4 linked regions of the Mus musculus genome follow. The protein of the gene in region 2 binds, or shares a complex with, the protein of the main gene of each other region. Links are inferred from orthologs where the notes say so. Each region holds a gene or a part of one and is shown on either strand. Other genes may lie near its edges.

Region 1 (4,091 bases), on a different chromosome or scaffold from region 2:
CCATTTCACTTTCTTCCCATTCTGCTTTTTAGTTTGTTTTGTTTTGAAATCTTTCATCAGCTGTGTGTTTACTTCTATTAAACTTAATCATAACAGGAATGATAGAATAATGTCCTCTTAGGCTCTTAAGCGACTTAACTAATTTAACTTTCTCAGAAGTCCTGAGTCAGAAAGAGTGGTTATTTGTATTTAAAGGCAGTTTTTGTTTCTGAGAATTTCATTTATTTGGTGTCTTTCACCATTTTATTATGTTGTTGCTAGAACTCCCAAGGCATTTAATTTAGTGCCTGTGTTTGCTTCAGAAGCACATGTGCTTCTCTGTTCATCTTTTAAGATGTGATACATTAATTTCCTGTATTCATGTGTTACTAAGTAACATGTTAGAATGTAATAAACTCCCATAACTCATGAGTCTGTTATTTCAGTGGACTTTGAAGGTGCTCTGATCCTTCCTCCTGTTTGTCCTTTGAATGAACTTTCACTCTCCAAAAGTGTCGGCATTTCTGTTTGTCTTTGTAACTGCATCTCTGTTTCTTGTCATCATATTTGCTTACTGCGTGTATTTCATGCTTTCCACTTCTCTTAAGAGCTGTTACCTGAGCCCTTGTTATCGCTTCTAATTGTGCTGCCCTTGGCTGCATTTCTGAGTTTCTGGTTCTTGCAAGTTTGTGGAAACAGAGGAGTCTTTAACCCACATCAGCCTTGATCCAAATGTGCCACTTTAAAGTTCGTGGGATCTGGAGCTCCTGGTCTAGCAAGCCATGAGAATGCCAATAAGTGTTTTATAATAAAGCTTTATTTAAACACCCGTTTTGTTCGACCTTGAAGCTTTACTAATATGCTGAAGAACAAACAGCCGATGCCAGTGAATATTCGGGCTTCGATGCAGCAGCAGCAGCAGCTAGCCAGTGCCAGAAACAGAAGACTGGCCCAGCAGATGGAGAATAGACCCTCTGTCCAGGCAGCATTAAAACTTAAGCAGGTGAGAGAATGAGTCCTGCCATCTGCGTCAGCCCACCAAGGCTGTCAGGGTATAATGGATGAGTACAAGATGGCTCAGGGCAAAAGCTGAAACTGATGTTCAAAGAATTTCAGTTTGGACAGGTACCAACTAAATAAATAACTTAATAACTTTCTCTTTTAGGGAGTTTGACACCTCTGTAGCCTGCGTTATCAATGAAGATTAATTGATTAGTATTTTCTGGCTCTTGCTCTTAAGAATAATTTCATTTATTCATTCATTTATTTTCATCTTTTTATCTCTTTTGTTTGGTCTAACAGTGTTGTTCAATGGTAGAGCACTTGCCTAGCAAGCACAAGGTCCCAGGTTCACTTCTTAACACTTAACCAAAAAACAAGAAAGAAGTTCTGTTGTAGTTAGCTTTGCTGTGTGTACAAATGATTTACAAACTAGTTTAATCTTATTCTTCTGAATAAGATTCTAATTGGCCTTAGTCTGAGGTTTTCAGTACTATAAAAACAGCACCTAGGTTCATTAGCATAGCAGAACAAGCATATAGGATAATCAAGTGTCAGTTCTCTTTCACATTTCCAAAATAAGAAGTAATCCTGATCAGGCCTGAAATAAAACCTGCTCTTTATCATTTGTAGACTTTATATGCAAGTCCGGAAAGTGGCTGTGGAAGGATATGTCCAAGCTGTGGCTGGGCGTCCAGAGGGCGGTGCCATGCAACTGTAAGGATTTTAACTGGTAGCACTGCATGGCTGTGCATAGAGTCAGCACTTATAACACCCACCCCCTACTCCGAACTGTTGGGCTCACTGACCGAAAATAAGCAAGGCTTTCTGCTTTTTTCCCTTTCAGCCTTGAAGTAGTTAAGGGTTTGGTTTGGTTTGGTTTTTTTCCTGACTCAGGAGAACAACAAGCCGTAGGCCCACATTTTCCAAGAATAAATAAGAGTCATAAAGTCTCCAATTACACTGTGACAGAGGCCCTTTCAATAGGCTAACTTGTAAACCAGTGATATCCACCAGCTTCTGTTTTGGTGGGATGCTCTCAATTTTTTTCAGTAGTCATTTGTCCTGTCAGAAGGACATCCAAGTGTGGCTAGTGCAGTTGAGGATCTAAATTTTGTTTTGAATTTTGTTTTTTTTTGTTAGGTTTTCCCTTATGTTAAAGCCAAACAAAGGACATACAGTTGTAATCTCAGCAAATAGGGGCATTATGAGCTCAAGACCAACACAAATTTTGTTTAGTTTTTTGTTATTATTGTTTAGTGGTTTTGAGACTTATGTAACTACAATTGGCCTAGAACTCTAAATGCAGACCACAGTGTCTTCAAACTCAGAAATAGACCTGCTTTTGTCTCCAGGGTACTGGGAGAAAAGGTCAGAGCTACTCTACCAGAACCAAAAACTTTTTTTTAAGTAGCCATATATAATTAGTGGTTACATTGTTATACAACACAGCTCTAGAGTAAAAACTGAGTCATACTGTCAGTATGTATAAGTGTCAGTATGTATAAGTGTCAGGATGAAGATGAACTCTACAGTACTATACAGTTCTTCCCTAAAGCAAAGGACTCAGGAAAATGAGTATAGTCAGTAATTGAGCATGAGAATGCAGTTTGACTTCATAATTGTGTGCTGGGGTCTGGAGGCACGGTTCAGTGGTAAAGTATTTATCTACCATGGGCATGAGTTCATGCCCAGCACCACAAAAAAATAATTATTGTGCTAATTGGGAGTAATAAAACAGGCCTTTAGGCTTGGTTGTATCTACCTGTATTAGATGTCTAATGTTAAGATCCTTTCTCCTCAAATTGGAAGCAGTTTAAAAGTTTTGTGCTGGAAAATTGATAATGCCACAACATCCTTTTCAGAGCTCTTAATTGAAGGAAATATATATGCAGAGATGTATGTGCCATTAGAATGTGCTGGAAGTTGATTGTGTGCAAGAGCAGAATTACTGGGGCCTTGATTGTATTTGAGGCTGTATTGTCTCCTCTTCTGAAGAAATCGAATTCTCTGAAATGTCATCTTCAGAATCTTTTGGAGAAACTATTGAAAATTGTTATCTTTAGTGTGTCTTTGTTCTTTGTGTGGTGGCCCTTTGTGGCTAACAGTTTGCTTTCATTTTAACATGAATTTGGCTGGCTTTCTATGAAGATAAAATTGAATTGTATGTTTAAGAAGACCATTGTACTGGCTTAAGGAAACTGTTGGCAAGGGGAGATGTGGAATTTACAGAATTTTTAAAAAGTGTAAGGAAAGGAATGTTGACATTTTTGTGTTTATTTGCATCTTAAGGTTTTAAAAAAGGACCGTCTGGAGATAGATACTCAAAGGAAAACCTCAACACACTGGCCTCTTTAACTGAGAAGTCAATCTTGTCCTTTGAGTCTCAAGAATTCAAGTGAACTTGTAATTTAAGTTTACCCAGAATGTGACGCACTTCCTATGGTGTGTGAGTAAGCCTTTGCAAACAGTGTAGTCCATAGGCAGATATGGGTAAAGTCACATCATTGTTAACCTATGGCTCAGAAGCAGCGAGTTTGCAGCTACTGCTGTATTATTTGAATAGCCAAATTAGTAAGGTTATCTGTGCTGGCTCTGCTGTTGTAGACGATATTAAAGCTTCTTAGAGCCTTTATTCTGGCTCAGGATTCTGCTTTTATCCATGTTCTGAGGAAAAGTCTTTGATTTGGGATCCTTACGTTACCCACAACAGGTTTATACCTTCCACCCCGAGTGTCTGACTTGCCTCTTTTTGTCCTGTACTTTAAATTGCCAAATCCCATGGAATTGCTTTGTTGATCTCAATCCTCTTAACACCTTTTCTTTCAGAAGAGCTTAAAGCAGCGCCTGGGTAAGAGTAATATCCAGGCACGGTTAGGCCGACCCATAGGTGCCCTGGCCAGGGGAGCAATTGGAGGAAGAGGCCTACCCATAATCCAGAGAGGCTTGCCCCGAGGAGGACTACGTGGGGGACGTGCTACCAGAACCCTGCTTAGGGGTGGGATGTCGCTCCGAGGTCAGTGTGTCTGTGTAGCTAATAATGGTTGGGCTCTATCCTCCTCCCCTTTTTCTTGGACTGCTTACCGACACATTTGTTTAGCATTTTTAATCCT
Region 2 (5,178 bases):
CCTGCCCTAGGCTCCAGACTTCTTACCTTCTTGAGAATTTCTGCCCAAAGCCAACCCTTGACCTCTCCATCGCCAGCACTGAGTAGGTGTCGATCTGTGGAGACCATGCTGTAGACAGGCCCGTCATGGGCTAGAGAGACACAGAAAACTCTCATTAGCCCCTGTGAGCCCTTCTCTCTCCTGAGGTCACCTGAACCACTCTCAACAGCTATACCCACCGTGGAAGACCACCACCGGTTTTTTGCTTTCTTCTTTGGCCTCTGAACTTAAGGCAGCAGACAAACTGAAAGAGAGGTAGGGAGCCAAGTCAAAGCCAAGGAGGCTCAAGTGCCAGGGCTCCTGTGTGGTAGGAATCAGGGTTGAGGGTACCTGAAGATGGCAATCTGCCCGTAATTGTTGCCAGCTGCCAGAAACTTCCCGCAGGGGGAGACACTCTGGGAAAAGATGGTCATGTGCAGTCGCTGCAGGGCCTGAAATACCTCAGCCTGTGGAAAAGGGTGATCAAGAGAGTCTAAGAAGTCTGGGGCCACCTCCTACAGACTTCTGCTTACCCACCCCACCCCCACCCCCACCCCCGCCCAGGCTTCTCAGCCCATCTCAGCCAGGATGAGAGGCATCAGCCCATACAAAGTGACTCCAGGAAGAGAGTGGAAAAAAGAACCGAGGAGCCACAGCTTGCCGGCGGTGGTGGCGCAAGCCTTTAATCCCAGCACTTGGGAGGCAGAGGCAGGAGGATTTCTGAGTTCGAGGCCAGCCTGGTCTACAAAGTGAGTTCCAGGACAGCCAGGGCTATACAGAGAAACCCTGTCTCAAAAAAAAAAAAAAAAACCAAAAACAAAACCTAAGACTTTGAGCAAGACCAAGCCTCCTCCCATTGGCTGAACAGACAGATGGCACTCACAAGAAATTCTGTCATGATTAGGTAAACTAACAAATCTTGAGAGCACTGAAGCCAGAGGGAGTTGTATAGAATGTAACCCCAGCACATGAGAGTTGGAGGCAGGGAAACTCACTGGTAACTCAAGGTTATGCCCAGCTAGACAGTGAATTCAAAGGCAGCCTGGGCTACATGAGACAGTCTCAAGTACACACTAAGGATGGAATTGAATTGGTAGAGTGCTTGCTTAGCACAGCACACTGCATAAAGCAAGCACACACATGTAGCCTGTGATCCCAGCACTCTGAAGGTACAAGCAGAAGGACACATTCCACTACGTGACAAACCTCAGGCCAGCCTGAAATATCTCAGACCCTATCTCAAAAATCTAAGTGACTCAAAATAATCTTTAAAAAATGGGGGTGCGGGGGAGGAGGTCTGGAAGATGGCTCAGCAGGGAAGTGTGCGCCACTCTTGCAGAGGATCCCCAAAGCACCCACATGGCAGATCACAACCACCTGCACCTCAGTTCCAGGAGGGCCCAGCCCCCTCCCTCTACTGCACCTCTCTCTCCTTTCTCCCCCTCTCCCCTCCCCTTTTCTCTCTGTCTCTCTCTTTCTACCCCCACCCCTCAGAAAAAGGTTCTCACCAGGAACCCTCTCTGGCCCAGAACTCACTATGTAGATTAGGCTGGTCCCAGAGAGATCTTCTTGCTTCTGTCTTGTGCATGAGTGTACATGCATGTGTGTGTGTGTGCATGTACATGCGTGCGTGTGTGCGAGTGTATGTGCAGTGTCGAGTGTTGGACCTCCTGGAACTGGATTACAAGCAGCTGTAAGCCCACTCCTATATGGGTACTAGGAGCTGAACTTGGTTTCTTTGGAAGAGTAGCAAGTGCTGGGCCATTTCTCCACTCCCCTGTGATACCCTTTCTGGCCTCTAAGGGTACCATAGCACACATACAACATGTAAGCAAAACACTTACATACATAAAACAATGAGAAAACTTTACAAGGAAATAAGTAAGCCAAGTGTGGTGGCATGCCTTTAATCTGTTCCGACAATTGAGAGGAGGCAGTTAGGTAAATCTCTGAGTTCCTGGCCAGTTTGATGTACATATATGGGCAATGGTGACACATGCCTTTAATCCCAGCACTTGGGAGGCAGAAGCAGGCAGATCTCTGTAAATTTGAGGCCAAACTGGTCTACAGAGCAAGTTCCAGGACAGCCAAGGCCACACAGAGAAACCCTGTCTCAAAATGTGTGTGTGTGTGTGTGTGTGTGTGTGTGTGTGTGTGTGTACGAGCAAGCACAGTGGTTCTTGGGGCTGAGGGTAACTGCTCATGGTAGACCATGCTCTTTTCTTCCTTTTTAAGATTTACTTTACTGATTTTAATTATTTGTATTTTGTATAAGTGTGTGAGGGAAGTATATACAAGTACGTCCACAGGGGCCAGAGGATTGGCTCCCCTGTAGCTGGAATTAACAGGCAATTACAAGCTTTGGAACTTGAGTGCTGGCACCCAGCTCAGATCCTCCACTCTCTCTCCATACCCAAAAACCTATTCTTACTCAAAGCTCAGCGTTTGAGCACCAGCATTGTAGATATTGGGCTTTGCAGCACACCCAATAGCCTGGAGCACTCAGTGGAGGTGAAGGCAGGAAGAACAGAAGTTCAAGGACATTCTCCAGTATATAACAAAGTTCAAGACTTACGAGACTGTCTCACACCAGTAAGCAGTGGGCTGAGCTGTAACTAAATAATAGAGCACATTCTTATGAAGACCAAGACCCTGGGTTTAAAGGGGGAGGGGCACCTCATTTACAATTACGATGAACTTTTTTTTTTTTTTTTTGAGTCAGGGTCTAACTATATAGCATTGGATGACATGGAATTCACTAAGTAGCAGGCTGGTTTCTAACTCACAAGAGATATGTCTCCCTCTGCCTTCCCAGTGCTAGGATCGTAAATGTGCCACCACCTCCAACGGCGCAAATTTTTTTAAGTGGCTCTATTATCCCGCACAGGAAAATGTACCAACATCTAATCCTTCAGTCACTATTAGATCTCAAGGTTCCGGATCACTTTTCGTGGGCTCAGGGTACAAGTCCCACAAATCACCTATGAACACTGGGTATCCTGGAACACTCCAGGGGTAGATGTCAGAGCAAGACTACAAACCCCAGAAGGCACTGTGCATACACTCGACTCACCTGACCCAGAGGCACCGCGAGCGGTGCGGCATGCTCCATCTTGAGAACTACAAGTCCCAGAGGGCTCTACGTGTGACACAATCTCTCGACGCACGACACAACCTCTCGATTCCGGACGTGCCTGATGGTGGCTCTTCTCGTTACGCCCCAAGACCTAGCACTGCCTGTCGCCCAGCAACTAAGGCGGCAGGTCCGTGCTGTCTCGAACCACAGAAACCTAGGAGAACTACACGAAGCACCCTTATGCTAAAAAGCGCCCAGAACTATCCAGCCACGCCGGATCCCCTCCCCCACCGCGCCGACCTGTCCCGCCTTCTAACCTCTAACCTGATTCCTGTCTTCCGCGCCTGCGTAAAACGTCTCCAGTGCGCACGCCGGTAGGCCCGCCCCTCGCGCTGTACCACGCCCTCAAAGGCTCCGCCTCTGCTGCTTGAATCCCACCCCTCTATCTGCAGGACCCTGAGCCGTAATGATCCTGCAACAGCCCCTGGAGCGAGGTCCCCCAAGTCGGGACCCACGGGCCACCACTGGGGTAACTCGCGGCCTAAACGCCAGGTGTGTAATTGGTCCCTGAGTGGGCTGGACGAGCGGAGGGCAGGAGTTTTGGCTGGGGGATCCAGGGCTGGTCAGTAGGGGGATCCTGGAAAGTGGGGAGGCGATTCAGGAAACCGTGGTGCTTGAGCTTGTGTTGAAGCAGGGAAGCCAAGGTCAAGATTTCCAAGGTAACCTGTGTATAGCCTGGGAGAGGAAGGTGGCTTAGGCCACACAAGACAAGGCTGATTCTGGGAACCTGGTTTACCCTGTAGACTCAGGTGGACAGATCTTTGGGAAGGGGCAAAGAGAGTGGACTACACCTGGCGCTACTTCCCAGCTCCCTTCTCAGAGGAGCTGTGCCAGTGACCATGGAGAGCCCTGGAGAAGGAACTTCTAAGTGTAGGGGCGGATGGGGCTTCCAAGATTCACCTTTGGTCCTCATCAGTTTGCCTCCACTCTCAACATCCCTGCCTCTATTCTTCTCCAGTCTTTCCCCCAGGGAACCTTTGCACAAGCAGTTCCTGTCTGAGGAGAACATGGCCACCCATTTCTCCCGACTCAGCCTACATAATGACCACCCCTACTGCAGCCCCCCTGTGACTTTTCCCGAAGCCCTGCCACCACTCAGGTAGGCACCTCCCCTTGAGGGCCTTCTAGAGGATCACATTCGGTCCTCAGAGCCCCTCCTCACTCTCTGCCTCATCGTGCTATTTTTAGCTTCTAGCCAACTTGTGCTGTTTTCCATCTTTGGCTCCAGGCGACCTGGACCTGGTAGGAGGTGGCACTGCCAAGCCAGCCTTCTGCCCTGTTCTTTCAATCTTTTTTTCTTCTTTTAGGAGCCCTTGCCCAGAGCTGCTTCTCTGGCGCTATCCCGGGAGCCTGATTCCTGAAGCCCTCAGGCTGCTGAGGCTGGGGGATACCCCCAGTCCCTACTACCCTGCGTCCCCAGCTGGGGATATCGTGGAGCTCTGAGTATTGATGGCCTGTGTCCCTCCCTATCTTCTTTCTGACAACAAAGACCAGCAACTCCCAGAAAGGGATGAAGTCCTTCTGCAAACCTGGCCACCAGGACCTTCCCTCTGACAAGAGGACACTAGCTCGGTGGAACCCTCAGTGAAAGGCAGCCTGGGAAAGGGAAAATGTTACCCCATTAGTGAATAAAGACCTGTGAGCAGTTGAAGATTTCTCAGCAGCCTTTGGGGAGGGTGGGGTACTGGATGCTGGGGTTTCCTCCTCAAAATCTTCCCTGGAAAATCGGTGAGGGCAAGCCAGGTCCTGGCAGGCTGAGCTCCAGGCATTGAGAATGTGTGAGTCACAGCCTCACCCCCGCCCCCGCAGTGGCCGACTGGCTCCCTCCCTCCAGTTCTGGGGAGTCAAGTTAGGGATCAGGCCATATCTTAAAGTTAAAGATTCTTTTATTAATAAGTCTCCCTCCCCTCCAAACATTATCCCCACAATAAATATCACCCCCCTTGGGAGATGGTTGTTTCCGTGTGTACTGGGGCCAGCCCTCCCAGAGGGCCAGCCCCCTTAGTGTTAAGAACAGGTCTGTC
Region 3 (4,091 bases), on a different chromosome or scaffold from region 2:
TCATTTTGCACTACTTTTATGTTCTATTTTCTCTTTGCATTGGTGTAAAAAATGAGACCCGGAAGTCAGGCTCATACCTGTTATCCCATCTTGTGGCAGCAGAGGCTGCACAGTGAACTGCAGGTCAGCCTGCACTGGCTCTCAGAAAGGATGAGACAGTGTTGTTTTGGAGTGTTTAACAAGGAAATTGTGTTACTTCATGAATCTTTTCCTTTTTCTCTGCCCTGTTACTCTTTTTTGTAACTTGATACTACATGGAAGGAAACTTTCTCAGTTCTTTCTGTCAGTGCCTTACTTAGCTGAAGATCTGCACAGTTCTGGCTTCCTTTACTTTAGACAGCTTTTTTTTCTTCTTTTCATTTTTTTTTCTTTTTTTGCTTCAAAAGTAGTTCTCTTAACAATTATTGACTTAGCCTTTCTGATATACCTGAAAATTTCCTCTCAACAACCCATAGAATGCCAATTGTGAGGGTAGAGTTTTACCTAAGACCTCAGCCCCTAGGACAGGCAGATATACCTTGGACAATCACTTTTCTTTGAAGAGAAAAATAGAAGAAAGATTTTTAATTGTGTCAAGATGCACGTAAAATTTATCATTTTTGTGTTCACCTCAACTGATGGCATTAAATGTATTTATTTTTCAGTAATTTTCTTTTCATTGAGCAAATGAGTAGTTATATACTGTTGTCTTGAGAGTTGCTCAGAACCAAATATTCGTTTTAATTCTCATTCATCTTTTTTCCTCCAGACGAAGTTATACGGAAACGTCTTCTGATTGATGGAGATGGTGCTGGGGATGATCGGAGAATTAATCTCCTCGTGAAAAGCTTCATTAAATGGTGCAACTCTGGATCCCAAGAGGAAGGGTACTTTATTCCACTGACGCTTCTGTATCAGTATCCTGGTGGAACTTTATTAAGGCCATGTTAAATAGTTCAATTTACCTTATCTGTCCAGTGCGGCCACCTCTAGACTGATCAGAAGTTTGGTTTATTTATTTGTTTGTTTTTGTTTTTTTTTTTTTTGTTTTTTCTGTTCTTCTATTTGGAGGTCTCCTTTATGTTTGTATAATATGCAGATAGGACATTAGTAAAAGAAGAAATGAAGGCTTAATAATTTGATTACTTTTAGCAAAGGAAGGTTTTTTCTTTGTTAAGTTAAATTTAAGTTGCTGCAAAATAATTATATACTAATAATTACATACTGTATTAGTTAGGGTTTTACTGCTGTGCACAGACACCATGACCAAGGCAAGTCTTATAAAAACAACATTTAATTGGGGCTGGCTTACAGGTTCAGAGGTTCAGATCATTATCATCAAGGTGGGAGCATGGCAGCATCCAGGCAGGCATGGTGCAGGAGGAGCTGAGAGTTCTATGTCTTCATCCAAAGGCTGCTAGTGGAAGACTGACTTCCAGGCAACTAGCATGAGAATATTAAGCCCACACCCACAGTGACACACCTATTCCAACCAGGCCACACCTCCAGATGGTGCCACTCCCTGGTCAGAGAATATACAAACCATCACACATTCTAATAATTACATACTAATTTTATACTAATTTTGCTGGATTTACTTTCTGCTTAAGTATGAAAATGATGAGAACAGAATTCTGAAGAAACTCTTAGTCAAAATATAGTTGGGGTTTAATATAGTTGGATTTAAGATGCAGACGAATGCTTAGATGAGATGAGCACAGTAGTCTCATTTTGCCTTTGTAACCAGAACAACTTATAAATTCACTTACAGCATTCTAGCAAAGAAAATAGTAAGAGTAGATGTTCTAAGCTGTTCTAAGTTAAGCAATTTTGTCAGAACTTGGTTTAGTGTACAATTCCTTTTGATTCCCTTTTTCTTTTTCATAGGTATAGCCAGTACCAACGCATGCTGAGCACTCTGTCCCAGTGTGAATTTTCAATGGGCAAAACATTGCTGGTATATGATATGAATCTCAGAGAAATGGAAAATTATGAAAAAATATACAAAGAAATAGGTAAACATAGTAATTCTTTCTGGAATTGTATTTTTGTGGTTTAAAGCTATCTGATAACAATATGTGGATTAAAGTAAAATATCAGTAATTAAGAGTCAGCTGTCAGCAGCCACAGTGTTGAATAATAACATGCAGCACTTCGTGTTGTAGATATTTTTAGAATGCCATTGTCTATTGTGTTATCAGTGGAATGTCTATTTAAAAGCACAGATTATATATGTTATTATAACTATCTTTTTTAAAAATAGAATGTAGTATTGCTGGAGCACATGAAAAAATTGCTGAGTGTAAAAAGCAGATTCTTCAAGCAAAACGAATACGAAAAAATCGACAAGGTAAGAATTTGAAGGATTTAGGTTGCAGATATTTTATTCCTGATTTCAAGTTACATAAAGTTTTTAATATTGAAAAGTAAATTCTGCAACATGAATCAGTTTACAGAAAATACAATTACACTTATACTTAGATCTCTGTTACTTAACATAGAGAAGGCAAGGTGTGATGAAAAAGATTTTATTCTGATGAGTTTTATTGTTTATCCAAGAATATTTCAGTATTTTTTACTATCTATAGATTTTTTTCCTAAGCAGTGTTACAGTTAATCTCCAAATGTGAACAATATGACAGACTGAGGTGTTTATTTGCTAGTTTAATGAAACTACTTTCAGAAAAAGAAAATGGAAAAGAAATTTAACTTTTTATTATTCACAAAGCAAACAAATGTTATCTACAGAATTACCTAATAAAAGTTAAAGTGAAGAGACAGCAAGTTGGCCCAGTGGGCAAGAACACTTGCCACCAAGCGTGACGCCCTGAGCTTAAGCCCTAAGACCCACGTGGTAGAAGAAGAGAAGTGAGTCCCTCACTGTGCCATAGCCCTCCAACACACAGATATATAAAATAAAATAAACATATGTAATTTTAATGTCATACATGTGTCTCTGTACAGCGGAGAGCAGGTGCCCATGGAGGCCATCTCATCCCTGGATTTGAGGCAGTTGTGAACTACACATGAGTGCTGAAAACTAAATTGGGTTCTGTAACACATTAGTATATCCTCTTAACTACTGAGCCATCTCTCTAGCCCTGGATTTTTTTTTTTTTTTTTGGTTTTCTGAGACAGGGTTTCTCTGTAGCCCTGGCTGTCCTGGAATCACTCTGTAGACCAGGCTGGCCTCGAACTCAAAAATCCACCTGCCTCTGCCTCCCAAGTGCTGGGATTAAAGGCATGCGCCACCACTGCCAAGTGGAAATTAATAGTAGGAATATTGCGCCTATTACATGAATTGGGCAAAGATAAAGAGCAGTGTTTGAAGTGTTTGTTATGGCACATCCTTGAACTGCCATCACTTGGCTAAGGCATGCAGGTTACAGATTCTAGGTCAGCCTGGGTTCGGTGGAAACCTACCTCTCATCAATCAATCAATCAGTGAGTATCATAATTGGGTCTAGTAGAAACTTAGCTCTAAATTAAATAGGTAGACAGATGAAAGAGAAAGGAAGACAGACAAACAGACAGAATAACCATGACAGTATTGTGAAAAACTAAACAGAAATAGAAAATGCTGTTATTTGATAAATGTGAGGTTTTATAGCTTAGATTCATAGAATCTAAGATTTATGAAACTGGTCCAGAAAGATGTATTTTCTTCGTTTGTTTTGACGAGGGTGTGAGGAAGTTAAGAACTTTTGAATCAGTCATTTGATGGTGATCCTAAGTCTTGTGTGCACTGCTGCCCACTTCTCATTCTGTCACATGACTGGAACACCGGAAGTGAGAGTGAGGACCCCTGCTTGGGACATGAGGTCATTATGACATACTTATGACTGAATTGAGGGATTTGCTTTGCTTTGGTTTGTTTTCTTGCTTTTGCTTTGTTTTTTGGTCTTTTTCAAGACAGGATGTTTCTGTGTAATTTTTCCTGGCTGTCCTAAAACTTGCTATTTATTTAGATCAGGCTAGCCTGGAGCGAACAGATCCAGTGGCCTCTGCCTCACAAGTGCTGGGATCAAAGGCATGTGCAAAGACCACATTATTCTCATTTCCTTAAGAAAGTGAATAAGAGTTATTTTCATTTACACATTTCTTTTTGATAA
Region 4 (4,091 bases), on a different chromosome or scaffold from region 2:
ACACTTAACCAGTTAATACTGTATTGGATACATGTTTTTTTTTCCAATTTACTGATCAATATATATGGTGGTAACACAAGCCTCATGGCTAAGTCTTTAAGTATATCAGAGGTTACTTCTTGATAAATTCTTAAAAACAAAATTGTGAAGTTAAATACAGTCTCCTTCACTTTAATACTATGTTAGCTCAGAGCACTAAAAAAGTACACATAGTTTTATGCTAGTAAGACACAAAAATAAATGAACAAGGTACTAAAGATTTCTCAGAAGTCCTAAAAAAGAAACCCAATGGTGCGATCTCCTCCCCATAACTTCAGGACGTTCTCTCGATTATTCATGAGGTCTGAAGGGTACAAATGCAGAGCCTCTTAAGGGCTTCTAGAGCCAACAAAGTTATCTAATTTGGAGGAATGAAATCTATAGTCAGAAAAAAACCCAAAGTAAACTTTCTCAGAAGAACCTCTGTATTCTCACCTTTTGTTGGAACTGAAGAAATTCCAAACCTGTAAGAAGAAAAAACAAGCTAAATTTTAGGAAGCTGTTCACACCCTTAGTTGTCTGTGTCCGTGTCAAGGGTGCATGACACTTCTTTCTTGTGATCTCAAACTTTGCAATCATTAGCTAATTCTAACAACCCCATGAAAGAGGTTCAGTTTACTCTCCTTCTCACCAACAGTCCAGGAGTCCACTAAACGAACTCTTCAGACTCAGGAGCAGCTGCCAGTTCCTGACTTTTACCTATCATAAAAACCCTGACCAAAGATGGCAAAACTCAGTGAAAGCTATAACATCCAAATCAGCAGAAATGTCCTGAGTATGACCCAAACTGTATTCATTAAGTTCAATGAAAACACTTCTACTGAAAACCAACAACTATAACAAGAAACAAAGATCTGACCCCCTACACCACCATAACATTTCTATCTTGTATCCAAACAGGTAGAAGCACTCACCTAGCCGCCCGGGCAGCCTTCTTACTCTCCAGGCTTACAGGTACATTGAATCGTTCAGCCCTCTTCTGCATTCTCTAAGTGATATTAAATGAAAAAATTAAAACTGTAATTTCTTGTTTAAAAAAAAAATTGGTTATGGTCATTTCTTAAGATCTAACGGAAATACTGACAACTTTAGACCATATCAGGTAGCAGCCATTCTAAGGCTTAACACAACAATTGTTTCTAGAAAGCAATCAATCAATTAATCTCTCTCTCTCCCCGTATTCACATTCTCAAAAACAAAAAGAATAAAATCCATATTCTACACAAACCCCAAAAGTTCTATCTTGTTTGAAAAAGTGTATCTTGGGGGGGGATAGTATATCAAAGGAGCATATTGGTTCCAGTACAGGTAATCTAAAAACACCACCACCACCACCACCACCACCATCACTTCCTGCCTGAATTCTAAAAGAAGTGAATAAATCTCAACTATAAGCCAGGCATAGAGGTACACTCCCAGCATTCAAAAAGCAGAAGCTGGTGGATCTCTGAGTTCGAGGCCAGCCTGGTCTACACAGTGAGTTCCAGAACAGCCAGAGCTACACAGAGAAACCCTGTATAAAAACAACAACAACCCCTCTACCTTGAAAGTACAAAACTGAACACAAGATCTCAAATGAAACCTGATTTCAAACATCTTGAGATAGAATCCAAAGAAATTTCACTCTCACCAGCTAACAACTAACAACTTAAAGGAGTATCTGCCATTGCTATTTTTCCAAAGTACACACAATCCTCTCAAACTCTAATCCTATACCTATAGACTTATTAAGTTACTATTAAGGCTACAGTGGTATATGTAATCTATGACAGCTTAAAGATAACAACTCACTATGCCAGTCCAAATATTTTCCTGAGTTGGTGGAGAAAGAAACATCAATTGTCAATATTCCCCTAATTCCCTTAAATAATTTGTCTATGAATAAATTATTTACATGGATCAAACTCAGGCTTTAGCCACAGAGATCTTTACCCAGAGTGCCAACTTAACAGCCCTAAATGAAAATTTTACATAATGATGATGACAGAGAAAAGGTTAAAAACAGGAACAGCCAGGCATGGTGGCACATACCTAGAATCCTAACACCCGAGATGCTGAAGTACAAAGATTTTGTTTGGGGCCAACCTGAGCTACAAAGTAAATTGCTATTCTAAGGAACAAAAAATAAATATAAAAATGAGAACTCAGTAGTTGAAAGTGCAGGCTGTGCAAGTCTGATAACAGGAGCCCATGTAAAGGCAGAATGTGCTAGTATACAGCTATAAACCAAGTTTTCCTGTGGCAAGATGGGAGGTTGTCATCTTCTGGAAGCTCATGGGCCAGCTAGCCTGGTGTACACATCACAGCACTGGAAACAAGAGTCCTGACTAAGTTCAGCAAGATAGTTCAGTGAGTAATGTTCTTTAATGCCAAGCCAGACAACCTAAGTTTTATCTCTGCAACGCACATGCTAGAAGAAAAACCAATTCCCCCAAGTTGTCCTCTGACCTACACAAGCGCACTCGCACACAAACACGGCTCCCCCATATATAAATAAAATGTAATTTTAAAAAATGTTTTTAAAGGAGAGACCTCTACCTCAACAAAGTGAAGGCAGTCCTCTATCCACACATATACCATGGCATTTATGCATTCACAGCCCCACCCACACCTCAATTAAAATTTAAAAAAGAATACTTACTTCAGTCTGAGGTATCCCAGATGTAATCTTTACCACCTTCTTTTCCGATGCCCTAAGAAGACAGATTTTTAAAAGTCAGAAAACTGCTATCTTAACCCAAAGCATTAGAAATGTGCAAGAATCACCTGAGTTATATCCTCTGCCCCACATGTGTCTACCACCCCTTAATCCAAAGAAACATGAAGTCCATAACAAGTCTGACTCCTTGAACTGTCATCAACTGAGAAGAAAAATTAAAATAAAACTAAGTTATTTTAACTGAAGTTCGAGACCATAATCAGCAAAGAAGTCAGGCTAAAAATACAGGGATGAAGGGACACACACATAAGTCATTTCATTTGCTTTTAGACACTTTATAGTTACTTTTGAACTAAGAACTGTATCTCCAACCTCCAATTATATACAAACTCAATTTTTATCACAATATTTAACTAGCGCTGAACCAGCCCTGATTTCCTTCTTTTATAAGTCCCTATTGCTCCCGTGGGATTGTAGCTCTAGCTGAAACCGTCAAAGCAGAACAAATAAAAATGCCACAGGAAGTGGGTGGGAGAAGAAAGGCTGAATTAGGAAAACATGGCGAGTTACTGGTCAAAAGGCTTAAGAGAAAACAAAAGAGGGGGACCGCAGGGGCAGGAGACAAAGTTCGGAAGTCCCCAGGATAAATGGAAGGGCATTAACTCTCCAACAAACAACTCCCATAAAACTGCGGGTCATAACCAGTCTCATTAAGGTCCCTTATTTAGAGACATGGGCAGCTTTTGTTCCAATATCCCAAACACTTTTCCCATTTGATGCCCTGAAAGGTAGTAATGGTTTAATGACATTTTCAGAGGAAGCAATTCTGGAACCTGATTCTCCTCCATCTTTTTGTTGGAAGTCCTTAGACTAACAGGCAAGCAAAGAATGCCCCCTGCTGACCATAAGGAAGTCCTACAATATTTGTTTTGGCTCAGGAGAAAAAAAAACTTAAAACAAGATAGAGAAGTATATTTACACATAACTTCAGGCGTAAGATGATGTAAAGAGATTTCCTTTTGGATATACAAGGGATTCTAATCAGCCTTGGAATATTCAGACTGTTTGCTAACTCTCCATTTTTTTTTATTGCTGTTGTCTGAAACATGGCCCCTTTCATTCAGCCAAAGCTATCTTCAAACTCCTAACTCTCCTTCCTCCACTTCTCTAATGCTGAGATTACAGGTGTGCACTACTATACAATCCCCTACCTTTTTTATCTTTTTAATGCTGGGTGTCACCTTATAACCCTGGCAGGCCTGTAAATTCCTATATAGAACAGATGGCCTTGAACTCTACTTGCCTCTGCTTCCTAAGTGTTGGGATTAAAAGAATGGGCACTGCCAGACATGGTAGCACTCACATTTAAGTCCTATATTTGAGAGGCAGAGAC

What was found.
Region 1: Thoc6 (region 2) and Chtop share a complex: the UniProt entries of both Homo sapiens proteins name them as parts of the transcription/export (TREX) complex. The link is inferred for Mus musculus from reciprocal best matches to the Homo sapiens genes THOC6 and CHTOP.
Region 3: the proteins of Thoc6 (region 2) and Thoc7 are in contact, whole or in part, in a cryo-EM structure (PDB 7APK), measured with the Homo sapiens proteins. The link is inferred for Mus musculus from reciprocal best matches to the Homo sapiens genes THOC6 and THOC7. Residues at the interface, in NP_001334633.1 of Homo sapiens: Asp229, Trp232, His245, Thr252, Gln268, Asp269, Gln284, Leu285, Ser286; in NP_079351.2 of Homo sapiens: Lys110, Arg113, Lys114, Gln117, Glu118, Ala121, Leu122, Val125.
Region 4: Thoc6 (region 2) and Sarnp share a complex: the UniProt entries of both Homo sapiens proteins name them as parts of the transcription/export (TREX) complex. The link is inferred for Mus musculus from reciprocal best matches to the Homo sapiens genes THOC6 and SARNP.

Annotation. Positions count from the first base shown.
Region 1 is NC_000069.6:90,502,999-90,507,089, reverse strand, and holds part of Chtop (chromatin target of PRMT1 protein), read left to right. Parts: exon of another isoform or gene 1-828; coding exon 829-982; intron 983-3,807; coding exon 3,808-3,994; intron 3,995-4,091. UniProt on the Homo sapiens protein: Plays an important role in the ligand-dependent activation of estrogen receptor target genes. May play a role in the silencing of fetal globin genes.
Region 2 is NC_000083.6:23,670,423-23,675,600, forward strand, and holds the start of Thoc6 (THO complex subunit 6 homolog), read right to left. Parts: upstream 3,456-5,178; 5' UTR 3,131-3,455; coding exon 3,092-3,130; intron 486-3,091; coding exon 370-485; intron 284-369; coding exon 219-283; intron 131-218; coding exon 27-130; intron 1-26. Other genes in the region: Hcfc1r1 (host cell factor C1 regulator 1), read left to right, coding at 3,561-3,646, 4,113-4,253, 4,462-4,597. UniProt on the Homo sapiens protein: Component of the THO subcomplex of the TREX complex which is thought to couple mRNA transcription, processing and nuclear export, and which specifically associates with spliced mRNA and not with unspliced pre-mRNA.
Region 3 is NC_000080.6:13,951,314-13,955,404, reverse strand, and holds part of Thoc7 (THO complex subunit 7 homolog), read left to right. Parts: intron 1-748; coding exon 749-866; intron 867-1,866; coding exon 1,867-1,994; intron 1,995-2,242; coding exon 2,243-2,329; intron 2,330-4,091. UniProt on the Homo sapiens protein: Component of the THO subcomplex of the TREX complex which is thought to couple mRNA transcription, processing and nuclear export, and which specifically associates with spliced mRNA and not with unspliced pre-mRNA.
Region 4 is NC_000076.6:128,845,173-128,849,263, reverse strand, and holds part of Sarnp (SAP domain-containing ribonucleoprotein), read right to left. Parts: intron 2,733-4,091; coding exon 2,681-2,732; intron 1,028-2,680; coding exon 954-1,027; intron 504-953; coding exon 475-503; intron 1-474. UniProt on the Homo sapiens protein: Binds both single-stranded and double-stranded DNA with higher affinity for the single-stranded form. Specifically binds to scaffold/matrix attachment region DNA. Also binds single-stranded RNA. Enhances RNA unwinding activity of DDX39A.